Linked DNA regions of Drosophila melanogaster. The protein of the gene in region 1 interacts with the protein of each later gene in a pairwise test. Each region holds a gene or a part of one and is shown in the gene's direction. Other genes may lie near its edges.

Evidence for each region.
Region 2: the proteins of Rlip (region 1) and CG13712 interact in a two-hybrid assay, tested with the Drosophila melanogaster proteins (one large-scale study listed by BioGRID).
Region 3: the proteins of Rlip (region 1) and CG13711 interact in a two-hybrid assay, tested with the Drosophila melanogaster proteins (one large-scale study listed by BioGRID).
Region 4: the proteins of Rlip (region 1) and Rpt6R interact in a two-hybrid assay, tested with the Drosophila melanogaster proteins (one large-scale study listed by BioGRID).

What each region holds. Positions count from the first base shown.
Region 1 is NT_033777.3:21,015,626-21,021,253, forward strand, and holds Rlip (Ral interacting protein), read left to right. Parts: upstream 1-2,058; 5' UTR 2,059-2,152; coding exon 2,153-2,249; intron 2,250-2,316; coding exon 2,317-2,449; intron 2,450-2,504; coding exon 2,505-3,389; intron 3,390-3,819; coding exon 3,820-4,582; 3' UTR 4,583-5,128; downstream 5,129-5,628. Other genes in the region: CG5697 (uncharacterized protein), read left to right, coding at 660-802, 876-1,134. UniProt on the Drosophila melanogaster protein: Participates in receptor endocytosis during interphase, is also involved in mitotic processes when endocytosis is switched off.
Region 2 is NT_037436.4:4,708,679-4,711,674, reverse strand, and holds CG13712 (uncharacterized protein), read left to right. Parts: upstream 1-1,784; 5' UTR 1,785-1,818; coding exon 1,819-2,172; 3' UTR 2,173-2,466; downstream 2,467-2,996.
Region 3 is NT_037436.4:4,756,144-4,759,221, forward strand, and holds CG13711 (uncharacterized protein), read left to right. Parts: upstream 1-1,739; 5' UTR 1,740-1,885; coding exon 1,886-2,269; 3' UTR 2,270-2,565; downstream 2,566-3,078.
Region 4 is NT_033777.3:30,581,637-30,585,369, reverse strand, and holds Rpt6R (regulatory particle triple-A ATPase 6-related), read left to right. Parts: upstream 1-1,672; 5' UTR 1,673-1,846; coding exon 1,847-1,994; intron 1,995-2,049; coding exon 2,050-3,101; 3' UTR 3,102-3,172; downstream 3,173-3,733. Other genes in the region: CG9717 (uncharacterized protein), read left to right, coding at 1-81, 150-295, 487-822; CG9702 (uncharacterized protein), read right to left, coding at 3,308-3,733.

The sequences.
Region 1 (5,628 bases):
CGAATCCCAATAAACTAACACATTAAACCGATCGATCTGGCTGTGAACTTTTCACTTCCCTGAAATCTTGGGCTTATCCTTATCGCTATGGGAAACTGGGGGAGGCGACTTCTCTGCTGCGGTTATGTAATGCCCCAAAAAAGCGCCAGATAAGACCAACCGCCGGTTGCGGAAGATGAGCGGATCGCCACGGCCCATGGAGATAAAGTTGTTTACAGGAATCCGGACCGAGCACAAAGACAAACAGCAATGGCAATAAAGCAATGGGACAGAGAGACAACCCAGCTGCAAGCTAATTAAAGTTGCGACAGAACGAAGCCAGTCGCCAGTAGTCCGCCAGTTGCGAATGGAGCAATTTCCAGCCGGGAGTGTTTGCAATCCTGGTACTATCCCGTGAGAAGGGCTGAAAAAGGACTGTAAAATACCCAGTTCCCATCTATAGTTATCTGTCGTGCCTGCAAGGGGCTACGGCAACTTTGGTGGTATTGACAAAAAAAAAACGAAAGATACATGTCACAGTTATCATATATAAATTATCAGTCATTTGAATAAATCATTATTCATTATTATTATTATTTTCACTTCTTGTTACAGATAAAGTTACATAAACTGCGTATACCCTCTTGTTCGGCACACATCCAGGGTACCACACGGCAAATATGTCCTGCAACGAGAAGACAGCGCTTCTGGCAACGCAACAAGGACATCAGCAGCGGCAGCAGCGGCAGCAGCAGCACATCATTGTCGTGCCCGCGACGGGGAAGGATCCAAAGGATTATGAGCCCATTTTCACAACTGCTGAGTAAACGCTTTCCGTCGTATTTCATTAAAAAATAACTTCGTTACACAGTGCCGCCTGCCCGCTTCTTTCGTAGCTATTCCTACGGACTGACGCTCGAGGAGCTCCTGCCCTTCGCTCTGGATCCCTGGTGGCAGGCCGTACGGCGCCTCAGCTGCGGGCTCCTGGGCCTGACTTTCCTGCTGACCCTGATTGCTGGACTGGTTATGGCCTATTCCGACAGTGTCTGTCTCCCAAATAGAGCAATTAGCAGAAACGCGACCACCACGACAACGATGGCCACGCCACTATCCTTGGCTCTCAACGGCTCCCAGCTGCTGATGGCCAGTTTATAGTGGCCGTAAGCTAATCTGTGTAGCATTTTGGAGATGCCGCAATCCACCCTGCGGAATTGCATCAGCCGCATCAGCTCGCACTATTAGCATTTGTTTGGCTTGCCGGTAATGGAGGCGACCTAATCCTCCTCCTCTCTACTGTTTACCCCTACTCAAGCTGAGTGATAAGCGATGCACCGCGGGATTGATTGGTCGTGAAATAATTATACTGATTAACTTATTTGCTACACAACCGCCTACTCGTAAAGTAAAAAGAATGCAAAAGGTATAAGGAAGCGTTTCCGTACCAATTAAGAACATTGTATCGCAAACTTATTAATTTTTATATATATACATATATATATATGAATATTACTTAAACTAATAAACGAATAGTTTTTTTTCATCGCTGTATTCTGGTTTCGGTTTCTGGGAGTTTAGAAGTTAACAAACCGCCTTATAGTTTTACAGCCCCACCCTGAAAAAATGGTTTGATTTAGTTTTATTTTATAAATAGTCTTGGCAATTTGTATACTTGTGAAAAAACATTTTCACCACGCCCACACTAGCGCGCACAATTAACAAAATCCTGTAGTTACAGAGGTGGTACTCTTGTCATTTTGGAAGTTTTATGTATTATGTAGTTTATGTATATATATAAAAAATATTTTCTTAGAATTTAAATTATTTAAAATATTATTATTATTATATTATATATTAACACATATTTATTTATTTATTTATTATATATATATATATATATATATATTAATATTATAAAAATTTAAGAGTTAGTAGCTGATCGCATTTCTGATAGTTGAGGAACTCGACTGTAGCGTTTTCTCTTGTTTCAATTTGCCTTTTTTTAAATATCTACACCGTTACTACATATTTTTTACATGACACAGTAGCGCCATCTGTGCACTTATCAGTGTTGGATAGCAGCGGCGACTTCGATTAAGCAATCGATTATTTGTTGCATATGTTGTTTACGGCAATTGTTTATATTTATTTACTGCTGGTGAAGTGATTATTCGTGATGGATTTTGACAGTCCCGAGGAGAAGGAGTTTCCCGGGCTGTACGCCTCCGAGGCGGCGGACGCTAAGTCGAGGAAGAGCAAGGAGGAGAGCGACTGTGAGTGGAGCGCAAAGATGTGGGCGTAAGCTGGGAAAAAATCAATGGGCTCACCTTGCCTTTACAGTTAGTGAGGATCACGACCATAGCAAGAAGGACTTGTTGATTGGCCGGCGCAAGGACAAGAAGGAAAAGGGCAAGGATCGAGGATACGCCGCTCTGGAGGGCGAGAGCTCGCCGGAGGAGGAGCTGGACACCAAGTGGGTGCAGGTCAGCTGACCCAGAGACAAGTAATATTTTTTCTTTTACTTCCAGAAGTCCATCCAAGTCGAAAAAGTCAAAGACCTTTAAGTTCACCAGCTCCAAGAGCAAGGAGAAGCGGGAAAAGTCGCGGGACAAGTCTGAAAAAGACTCGAAGCACGCAGAGGAGGAGCCTTCCGTCTCCCACAAGGTCAAGGAGAAAGAGCGGGATAAGGAGAAGGACCGTGATGAGCCCAAGAAGAAGGACAAGGAGGAGAAGCGCAAGGAAAAGGACAAGAAGGCTGACAAGAAGGACAAAAAGGATAAGAAGAGCAAGCAGCTGTCGCAGCAGCAGGACGACGTCTCCGCCGCGGAGGAAGTGCTGGCACTTGGGTATCCCGTCTTTGGGGTGTCCGTTAGCTTGGCGACCGAACGATCCCGCTGCCACGACGGCGTGGACATTCCCCTGGTTGTGCGCGACTGCATCGACTTCCTGCAGGATCACCTGAAGTGTGAGCAGATCTACAAGATTGAGCCCATCAAGACGCGTCTGATGCACTTCAAGCGGTTGTACAACAACCGGGAGCACGACTCCGCCGTTGATGAGCTCAACCTGCCTACCGCCTGCAGTCTGCTGAAGCTCTTCCTGCGCGAACTGCCGGAGCCACTGCTGACCACCGATCTGGTGGCCCGCTTTGAGGAGGTAGCCTCTCATCCGAAGGTAACCACGCAGCAGGCAGAGCTGCAGCAGCTGCTTGAACAATTGCCCAAGTGCAATCGCACCCTCTTGGCGTGGGTGCTGCTCCACTTCGACGCGGTGATCCAGCAGGAAAGACACAATAAGCTCAACGCTCAGTCGCTGGCTATGCTGCTCAGTCCGACGCTCCAGATGTCTCACCGACTAATGGTGGCCCTACTCTGCCACTGCAACAACTTGTTCGCGGACGTCCAGCTGATAAAGTGAGCAAACACCGGCTAGCCGGATAACAGTGGTGGGAAATATCCAAGTACCTTTGTGTTGGTAAAAGAGAAGTCCACATTTAACAACTATAGTTAAATCACAAGAACGAATCGAAGTCATAGCTCTGAAGTTAACTACTAAACTGTTAGTTTTAGTAAACTGTTAGTTTCCATATTTATCTAATGATATAAATTGTTTTTTTATATGTATAATAGGTACTTATAAGAACCCAGATAATTCCCACCACTGTTGGCAGTTGATAAGATTGCTGCTATAAAAATCGCCAGATTTAGTCGTTTATTTTGCAACCGACGATGAGCACATTACCCCGTAAACAGAAGCGCTTTCCACGTTTCGCCAGTTTTCTAATCAGGCAGAATGGCACACATTTAAACAAAGTTATCATAATACTAAATTGTCATCTCTTAGGTATGTGCCCCCTTTAACATCGACCAGCCCAAAGCTTCCGGATACGCCGGAGGACATCCAGACGGAGTTGCGCAAGCAGGACAGCCTCCTGTCCCAGATCCACAGCGAGATGAACGCCGGGTTCATTACCAAGAAACGCGAGGAACAGCTGTGGGAAGTGCAGCGCATCATTACCCAGCTGAAGCGGAAACTACGAACTTTTGAGAAGAAACAGGAAAAGACTGCGGAGGAAGTAGACAACAGCAGCAGTGCTCCGCCCGCTGTAGCCAGTGAAGATACCACTGACTCCAAACCAGCTGGAACTCCAGCCGTATCTACGAACAACAGTATTTCCCAGGAAGAGCCAAAAACCGATACACTAACTCCGAAAGATGCTCCTAACGATTTTACTATTGATCCCAGCACTGGCTTTATTTTGCTCCCCAAATCAAATCCGCACCGCGAAAATTTGCTGCGGCTCCAAATTGAATATGACGAGCTAATGGAATGGCAGAACGAACTAAAAGCACGTATCGTCGCCGAGCGCAACGAAGTCTATAGGCTCAAGCAGCTGTACGAGCAGCAGTCAATAAACAGTCAAATGGCCTCCTTGGCCTCGGGATCTCAGGCTCCCCCAGAATCCGACTATGAGCGGATAATCGAGCACTATACACGGGAGAATGCGCTGCTGGAGCACAAGAAGAATATGCTGGGCATGGAACTAAAGGAGGAACGACGGGCCTGTATTGCTCTACAAGTTGAGCTGCGGCTCCAGCAGTTTTAATGTATTAATTCGATTAATGTATTACTTGGATGGGTCAATTTGAGGGATATAACTAAGTTCCTATTCCGGAAACTTAATGGTCACATTTCCAAAGAAACATAAAAGGTCTACTAGGCAATCATAGGAGGTTTCTTAGATTCGTAGAAGACAATTCTATGTCACATATCTAAAATATTCAAATGAATAAACTTGTAAAGTTTTTGATAATTCATTTATCTGCAAACGTAGTCACTGTTCTAAACAGTGTCCTTTGTGAATTGCAATATATGAGAATTTTCAGTTCAGCTTTTAAGGAGATAAAATACTGCTAAAACATAAAACGGATTCCTCATGCCTAAAGTCAGTTTATTGTTTATTTGGAAATGAGCTAGTTTCAGACTTGACCCACCGAAATATATGTATGTATATAGGGTTACCAATTTTAAATCTCAATGTCTACTTGCGATCAAATGCTTTGTTCAAACTATAATTACTGTTAAACGGCGCAAAGCCCCAAAGAAATCTTGTTAGACAACTTTACTGCTTTCAACAATTAAATGAGAAAACAAACTCAAAATTCCCTTTTCTGTACTGAACTATTGCATCGAAATATGTCTCCTCGAAGAATTTTGTAAATGCCGGTAAAGTAGCTGCGTTTGTGTGTGCCGACAATCAAGATCCGATTTTCTAAATCGGTCTGATGACTTAATTCCAATCCGAGAAATACAGGGCACAGATTAGAAGATGTTTAGACGACGGATTGGCTGTTCGCTGGGGTGAAACGGAAATGACATCATCTCATATTACGTCTTGTCAACATTGTGATGGTCAAGGAACCGAGGTGGGCTTTGCGTGTTACGATTACTTTATTTAATATTTATTATTAATAATTTTAGAATACATTATCATTATGCATTACGTTCGGGGCGTGTTTTCTGTATTCCGCTGAAGTACAACTTAAAAATATCACACACAAATACCACGGGGGAAAGATGAGTCCTCCGGAATGCCAAACCGCGTCAACTCGCTCCCCTCCATGATTAAGTTATTTCCGCTGGACTACAGAT
Region 2 (2,996 bases), on another chromosome or scaffold:
TATTTGTTTTTCAGTTTTCAGTTTTACGTACTCAGTTTTCAGTTCGCCCGATTCTGGCATCTCGATTCTCTTTTGTTTCAGGTTTGGGGTTCCTGTTCTGGCCGTTTGGCTGGTTTCATTTATTATTTATGTGCATTTTGATGTGGAAAATATTCCTTTTTCGTCGCTTTGTTTGCCATGTTGTAGCTACGTTTTTATATATTTTGTTGTTATATGAAGTTTTGCCAGTTGAAAATTTGTCGCCACCCGGAAAAGTTTTTAGAGAGATATGTATATATTTTACGTATTGTCATTTGGATAACATTGTAATGCAGTTGGACTGGAATAGTTTTTTGTTTTGTTTTGTACAGTTCGAGAGCTGGAAAAGCTGCAGAGCAATTTCCACTTTACACTCTTGGCCATGTGGGTTAATTAGCACCGACTTTTCCTCAGCTAAAGGGAAATCACTTGGCAGTAACGTTTGAATCTGCAACATTACGAGGCCTTTGAGTTTCCGCCTTACCATACGTATATGTATAGTTCCGATTAACCCCGGCTTGGAAACTACAGTTCCGATTTAACCTGGGCTTAATGAGGCCGCAGATGCAGAGTTGGCCAAAAGAAACCGGTGATGTAATGCCACGCACATTTGCCACAAGGCAATGCCCCTACCACAGGCTAACTGCCCATTGTGTGTAAATTTGTTTTTCTGCTTATCGTTGTATTTCTTTTTTCTACGCTACCTCATATTGCACATAAAGGTAATTTCTAATTTGCTGGTGTTTTATTGTTTTTCTGCCGGCTCACTTTATGGCGCCGACTTATGCAACACCTCTAAGGCAGCGACGCATGCGCTCGAATTACACACATGGATATGGACACTAAACGCAGGGCTTTGCCTCTATATCGGCCATAAAAGCATAACGGCGTTCATTAATCATGCCGGTCACGTCGGCCCAAGAAAAAAAAATGAACTACACTAACATAAATTGTCTAAAAGCGAGAATGTGCTCTAGTAAGCGCAGAACTAATTGTGAATAGTTAATGAGGCTTGGAGACCAAACAGACAACAAGCCTTGAAAACACAGAAAATCTGATTTCTTACGAAATGATTCTATTTCGGGAAATTAAGTGGTTTCCCATTGTCATGCTTAATTGAAAATTGTAGTTCTATAAAGATCGTTTAGAATACTAAATACCTTTCGCAATTTCGCTATAAAATACTACCCGTACTACAAATAAGTTTAAGTTAATCGTAAAAGAAGTTTACGCATTGTATTGTGTTGGAATCCAAAAAGGGAATAATTGAATTGAAGTCTTTTTTATGTGGAACTCATCCCGATCTATCTTTATGTCGTCTAGGGCCTAGATTTTTCGCTAACTGCACCGAAGCTAGAGGTAACGTCGTGTGGCAGCAAAAGAACAGTAGCATCGACAACTGTTGCCAATTAGCGGCAACATGCAAAGCGCATTTGCATTTGCATTGAACCTGGAGCTCTCTATTTTGCGATTCTGCCTGCTGGCGACGACACCGGAGCCACCGATGGCACCAACAACCGAGCTGGAAAACGTAATCAGTTCAAGTCGCGGCACGGCATTAGGGTTCAGTTATCGGGGGCAGGTATAGGTATCCTAATTGAGTCCTTCAAATATAATGTACGGCAATAAACCCAGGATTTTTGCATACCTGGTAAACCGGGAAATCGCGAGGAAACCAACATCGCATCGAACCATATACCTGAGTGGCTTTAAAGTCGCCCGCACACGCACTGATTGCATCATTTGGCCTCAAACCAGTGAGGAGAACGTTTCGATTTGCATAGTATATACAAGAGGAAAATGTCAGACTATTCCAGCTACAGCAACTGCAGTGGCAACTCCCAGAGGAGAGAGCAATCCGTGAGCTATGCCCTCTACCTCCACCGTAGGGAGTTGGGTCGTCCCAGGCGCAAGATGATGCGAATCGCTAGCACCAAGTTGCAGCTGACAAACGAGCTCATCCAGCTGCAGCAGCGTCGCCAATGGGAGTCGGCCTTTGAACTCGAGTTCGACGCGGAGGCCAGTTCCCAGCAGATGAGTGCCCTCGATAGGGAACGGGAATATAGGGACAGATTGCGAACCAATATGCAGCGGCAACTCGAGAAGCAGCAGAAACGCAAGCGAAAGTATCTCGAGGAAATCGGCAAGCTGTAGTGCTGACAACTACGAGCATAATGCGGAAGGCAATAATTAATTAATTAATTGAGCACCATATTAAGTAAATTAAAGAGTAATGATAACTCTTATTGACAAACTAGAAAATCAAGATTTTCAAGCTATAGGTTTATTATTTCTGACTAAGGAAAGCAGGAACGTGAAACAGGGAACTCAGAAAAAGATTTTGTGATATAAAAAGACAACTTTTACCAACATTTACAAATATTATTTAGTTTTACGGCATTACAGCCTTATATGAATTATTATATAAATCTAGCATTAGAACAGAAGAATATCGCTCAATAAAATAGTTGCATAACAATTACATAAGGCCTTCTTTACTGAGACTATAAAACGAACTACAATAATTTCGAAATGTGCCAAAAGATTTGTGATTAGCTATCTATCGTTTATCTTCGCTCGTTTGCAGAATTGATTTTCCTTCTTTCTAGGCCACGGACTCTAAGCTGGCCTTAGCCAAGCCAAAAAAGTATCATAAATTACGAAAAAAAACTGCGACTTTCTGTGTGACTTCCACAACTCAAGAGATCGGGGCTGAGACAAGCAAAAGTGTTTGACTTTTGACACTCTTTCCTAGGCGGTTAAGGTGGCAACGTCTGTCAAGTGCAGGAAAAACTGAAAAACTACAAGCAAATAACTGCTAAACGAATACCTGGCACTGTACAACATTTTAACTAGCAAACACCAATTGAATGCTAATTGAACTTCTGTCAAAAAAATGTTATTGTATCGTAAAATACAATTGCAGTTTTTTTTGTGTATAGTTTTACCTGGAAAATAATTTGGAATTTTTCGTTTCT
Region 3 (3,078 bases), on another chromosome or scaffold:
AAAAATTATTTTGTCCATTGTGTTCGTTTTTTAAAATAATAATTTGTTCCAAGAGATATCTTCTATGAAATGCAGTGGATGTTTCTGTGTCAATTACACGGCTAAAATGTTCACACCTAGCGTTAATAATGCAGCTGCGAAATGGATATGCATCCAGCGGATAAAAATAGAAGTACAAGCGTAGAGATACAGTATCAAGGGGGCCAAGGAAGTGCGCCAAAGAGCTCAGGCTGATTGCATTTCATTTTCAATTTAACTTACTTTTATTTCGAACTGCTGCTTTTGCTGTTCCGTTGGTAATACCGCCGTTCGAGCTGCCGGTCATTGCAATTACCATCGGAGGGCAGACAACAGTTGGAATTACATTTTCAATATTTCCCAGCAGCAAAGCAAAAGCAACAGCAATAGCAAAAACACTAGCATCAGCTTAATTTTTTCATTCGCTGTGCCCTTTTCCCCTAGATTCTTGGGCACTATGGCCATAAATTTTTAACTACAAGCTCTTGAATGCAATTACTTTTCAATCTTTTTTTTTTTATTTTTTTCCACCAGCCCTGCTTGTCTAGTCTGGCACTTGCCCTATGTATATATGTTCTATAGTTGAACGCGAAAATTGCTTATTTCAACATTCAACTTTGAAAAGTTTCGTTTCGTCTCGTTACATTTTAAGAAAAAGAAATGGGAATGAAGCTAAAGTTTGCCATAATTCTGCCAGAGGTCTATCACTTTCATTCCCCGCCCTCGATTTTTCCAACACACTCCTTAGCTGTCTTAACAGATTACTTTTATTTTTGTTGCCACGTATATATTTTAGAGCGGAAAAGTAGGTTGAACTTTGTGTTATTTGATCAGGATTTTTATGCAAAGGCAAGAAATGTGAATTTATAAAAAAAAGTGCCCTCCAATCCAGGCGACATTTTTCCGTTCCATTTTCTCCTGACTACACTTTGCACTGACAATGCAGTTATGTAACTTGAGCTCGGCGATTTTGAACTTCCAAAGTCATTCTCTCAACACAAATAATGCAAAATGTGATACCGCCGACTCTAAATTTTTATATAGTTTAATGTGATTACCAAGGATTGGAATTGATTGAAGATATAGAGAAGTATTTCTATTAAGAGTAGAATCAAAATTCAAATTTTAAGACGTTTTAGAAAAGTGTTATAGAGACCAATTTTTCTCAGTTATTGCTGTCATTATGCATATTGATCACTTTAGCCATCTTTCTTAGAGATCATTAATAAATTCTTAAAGGCCTTGCAGCTGTCTCCCGTCGCTAATCCAGTTCGGCACTTATCCTTTGCATCCTTCTCTGCAATTTACCCTTTTCCGCAGCAGGAAAATGCATGTTCATCCGGCAGTGGCTTGCGAATTTCAGCTGCTTGGGAAAATACGTTGTGTAATGTCACTTAATCTTTTTATACGCGCCAGTTGAGATATATTTTTTGTTGTAAATTGCCCGGGCGGCCGCGAGGGCGGATTACTGAAACGGATTAAGAATGAAAATGTTTGCAAAATACTAAAACTTTACGACGGGCAGCAGATTAAGAATGAATTGTTTTTTATTACGCCAACCGAAAGGGGCATAAGTCAAAAGTGCAGGTAAAGGACAGGTAACTTTTTGTCGATGGTCAAGGGTTTAAAAAAAGTCGGGACTCCGAAAGTTCAGGTAAACACAGGCAGCAGGATGTGGCTAGCTGGGATGTATAAAAACTAGCCTGATTGTTGAAAGGACATCAAACGCTCTGAAAACGTTGGACAAGCAGCATCGGATATTTTTACTTGCAACTGCAACGAATATTGCTGAGATACCACCTAGAGAATCTGCTAAGGAAATCAGCACCGGACTTTGTGTTTTATACCGAGACTTATCGATTATAAAATGCCGCGCTACCAGAAACTCATCAACGAATGCGACAGCAAGCCTGCGAAAAATGCGGGACAACAAGAGCAACAACAACATTGCTATCAGCAGCAGCCAAAAGGGACGCCCAATGTGGGATATCACCTGTATCTGTACCGCCAGCAACTTTCTCAGAAGAATGTGGAGTACATGAGGTTGTCCAAGGCCAAGTACTTTATCACCGACACACTGCTGGCCAAAACGGTTCGGAATTTGAAAGGATACAGCGCCGACGAGTTGAAGACTGTTAACCATCAGATCGTCTTTCGGCATAAACTTCGTCGCCAGATTCAGCGGCTTCGCAAGTTAAGAAGTCTGGGCATCAAGAATGCCAATCCCAAAATGGAGAGTACGGAATTGTGATAGTGATAAATATACACAGGATCGTCGGAGGAAAGACTATTTTACCGCATAGTACAAAAAATATCTCTAATACCTCTTACGTTTTTGGAAATCTCTAAAAGATATTACTTTGTGTAAATTATTCAAGAGATTGTAACGTATATTTTGTCATTTGCTTAAGTGAAGGGATGCATAAATTTATAAAATTGTATGGCCCAAAAAACATATCAATAAGCACTGATTATAATTAGTGTGTATTTGGTCTGCACTAATAACATTATTGATTAATTAATTTAATGACGTTTGTGAGCACAGTGAAGATAATTAAGAAAAGCACAATAATTTGATTAAATTGTAATGAAATAAACTCCCACGGTGTTAGTAATCAAAGCTTTTATATCAATGCATTCATTTTAAATTACGTCTTTAAAAGCGCCTGCCATAATATTTTGACCTTTCGAGGTCATGTATTTGGACGCCAGTTGTAACCAATATTTTTGGCAATCACCCAATTGTCTAAACAGCTGTTGCCACCTACTCAAGTTTAGACAACGGTATGGATGTGGACAGAAGCAACCTTAATGTGACTATCAAGTGAGGCCAATTTGTGGCAGCCACTAATTGAGTTCTCTGAGCCACAACCTGACACGTGTCAAGACAAATCATTTGAGCTGTTGGGCCTTATCTCTTGACCGCAAGTCTTTTGGAATTTATGACCCCTTCGGGTGCATTAAACTCGAATGCTATTATCGATTGGAAAAGGCGTTTTTAACTGGGCACGCAAATATTGAATGAATGATTTGGTACTTTTTGGGCCAGCATTTTTTAAT
Region 4 (3,733 bases), 9.6 Mb from region 1:
CGGCTCTGGCCTCCATTATTATTGCGGCGGTTATTTTCATGGTCCAGTACCGAGTGATCAAGCCCATGTGGCACAGTAAAAGTGAGTTGAAAATAAATAAACCACACTCACATGTTTGTTACCATACGTGTGTATTTCTCCTGCCACAGAAACCGATCTCATTCCCGGCCTGGGTGCCTTTTTCGCCTGTCTGGTTCTGCCCCTGCAACTGGGCATCCTCGTGGGCATCGGCATCAATGTGGTCTTCATCCTCTACCAGGCAGCCCGGCCAAAGTTGCGCATCGAAACGCTGGCGGTGAGTCATTCCATCCGAAGTATCTCAATCTATACCTAGAATAGCTTCAGTGGCTGAAAGTATGCTACAGATTCTTAAGATTCGGATGGCATTTTTATCTCATGTTCATCTTACTGTAGGAATTAATATACTGCTAGTTGATATGCCATAGATGATTCCTATGATATTAATAAGCCGACCTATCTTTATAGACAACTACTGGTCTGAAATACCTAATGCTAACTCCCGATCGCTGTCTGATCTTCCCCTCGATGGAGTTTGTGCGCAAGGTGATCAACAAGCAGGGTCAGAAGTCCACACTGCCGGTGGTCATCGATTGCACCCACATCTATGGAGCGGACTTCACGGCCGCCAAGGTGATATCCACCATGGTGATGGACTTTAAGCTGCGGGAGCAGCCGCTGTTCTTCTACAACCTGCAGCCGCGAGTGGCGCAGGTCTTCGAGGGTCTGAACAAGGATCTGGTGGTCATATACGATATTAACACCCTGCACGCCAAGCTGGCGGAGAAGTCGCCCCCGATCTGAGGGATCCAAAGAAGTCCGAAGGGGGAACAACGCTGCAACCTCGTTATGCGATAGTCTTAGCCCAAGTCTAGTTCGTAGCTTAGTCTCTGTCCTAGACCTAGTACTAGCTTAGTCTTGCCACCGAGGCCAGCGACTAAATCTAGATGTGGGCTGCCCACGCTCATCGCCTTAGTTGAAGGTACCATTACCATTCCACGGCTAGCCCAGCTCACCTTAATTAGCATTTAAGATGTGGCAATCTTCGCAGATATCTGCACAATATTATTTATTTGGCCTCTAACGGCGAAACGCTGTGAATTCCAGAGTCAGGGCTCCTCCCACCCGCGATTTTGCCGCTGAACATAGTATTATTTTCGGGTAGCGAACGGCGAGTTTTAGCATAAGTACTTAAATAAATCAAGTAAATATAAAATAGTTAAGTGGCGTTAAGAGTTTTACTTGATTGGCCAAGAAAGTGGAAATAAAACACTCTCATTAGGTATTATACGTTGTTACCAACTACTGGCTTTATTAAAGATTTATTCCAAGATTGATAGACTTTATATCTAAACAACATCATGATTTCTGGGTGTCTTTAATCTCAAACTATGCTGTGATTTTATTTGGTGCTTCGTGTGGGAAGTAAATTTTTTGGTTCGAAGGCATCAATAACAAGAAAGCATTACTCGAGATAAGATTGAATGAATATGTTTGACACCTATAATAAAATAATATTTACGAAACGTGTGGCAATAATACGACTTATCTTAAAATTTTTAGTCTGTTCAAGAACCCTTAAGTTAAAGTGTGAAATGAAGTTTCCATCCCTAACTTGTCAAAATTTCCCAGCACTGCGTAAAAACTGTCGTCTCATCAGCCGGATTCAGTTCGTTCAAAAAAATAAGCAAAATTATATCAATAGCTCGGGAAGTTGTTGAGCGCTATACAAGGAAAGAAATAACAATTTGCAGTTCAACGTAATAAATTACTAGCTAGCCTTTTTTGAAGTGATTTTTTTTTCCAGAAGAAATATTAATTTTACCAGATGAGCAAAGACGTAGGAATCCCAGAGGGTTCCGAAGGCTTTCATTCATATTATACGCAGAAAATATCAGAGCTTCAGTTCACTGTGAACGAACGCCAAAAGAACTTGCTCCGTTTGCAGGCTCAGAGAAATGAACTCAACCTCAAGGGTAAGGTTCTTAGAATGAATATATCCTTTATAAGATTATCCTGCCTTATCCACAGTTCGCTTGCTGCGCGAGGAGCTGCAGTTGCTCCAGGAGCAGGGGAGCTATATTGCGGAGGTTGTGAAGCCCATGGACAAGAATAAGGTCCTTGTGAAGGTTCATCCCGAGGGCAAGTATGTAGTGGATGTGGACAAGACCATCAATATTAAGGATGTGACACCCAGCAGCAGGGTGGCCCTGCGAAACGAGAGCTACACGCTTCACAAAATTCTGCCCAATAAGGTGGACCCATTAGTATCCCTTATGTTGGTGGAAAAGGTGCCCGACTCCACCTACGAAATGGTGGGTGGCTTGGACAAGCAGATCCAGGAGATCAAGGAGGTGATTGAGCTGCCTGTAAAGCATCCGGAATTATTTGACGCCTTGGGCATTACCCAGCCAAAGGGAGTGCTCCTCTACGGACCGCCTGGAACTGGGAAAACCCTGTTAGCCCGAGCTGTAGCCCATCACACGGAGTGCACTTTTATACGGGTTTCAGGGTCGGAACTGGTTCAGAAATTCATCGGCGAGGGTTCGAGAATGGTAAGGGAGCTTTTTGTGATGGCTAGGGAACACGCTCCATCCATAATATTCATGGACGAGATCGACTCGATTGGTTCCGCTCGACTGGAAACCGGAACGGGGGATTCGGAGGTCCAGCGAACCATGCTGGAGCTTCTGAACCAACTGGACGGCTTCGAGGCTACTAAAAACATTAAGGTGATCATGGCCACCAATCGCATCGATGTCTTGGATCAGGCATTACTGCGTCCTGGTCGAATTGACCGCAAGATCGAGTTTCCGCCACCAAACGAAGAGGCCAGATTGGATATCCTGAAGATACATTCTCGCAAGATGAACCTCACCAGAGGCATCAATCTTCGCAAGATTGCTGAAGAAATGCCGGGGGCTTCTGGTGCTGAAGTCAAGGGTGTTTGCACCGAGGCGGGAATGTATGCTCTGAGGGAAAGACGGGTCCATGTCACCCAGGAGGACTTTGAAATGGCCGTCTCCAAGGTAATGATGAAGGACTCCGAGAAGAACATGTCCATCAGAAAGTTCTGGAAATAGCTTATATAACTAATTTTAAAACATTTGAAAGCTCCATTATCAGACTGAATATAATAGTTGATATAAATAATACAAGTTTTGTAGTATATTCTTGATAGAAAAGGACAGGAGTGTAAAAACAAAGACTTTACTCAAGTGAAACTACTAGATTAATGTTCGTAATGGTATAGATATAACTTAGCTAATTTTATTTGGGCGTTGTAAGACTAACTTCTAGCTAGTGAAAGAGTGCTGGCCATGCTCACGCATTCACTAGTTCCGTTTCCGGACTCGGCGTGGTCGAGTGAGTCCACGGACCTCGAAAGATCCGGCTCGTCGGGCCGGAGTTCCTGGTTGAGGGCATGGGTGTTGTAGCAAAGCACCAGCCTCGTGTTCAATCCCTCGAAGACACTCACTACACTGGGCTTCAAGTTGAAGAATATGATCTTTTGCTGACGCCGGCGGAAGTCGTCCACAATGGAGGATATTACTTTGGCGGCTGTGAAATCCGCAGCATAGATATAGGTGCAATCGATGACCACTGGCAATGTGGATTTGCTGCCCAACTTCAGTACCATATTTCGAACAAACTCCACCGAAGGAAAGATCAGACATCTGTCGGGGGTGATCTTCACGAATCTGATACCTTGTTG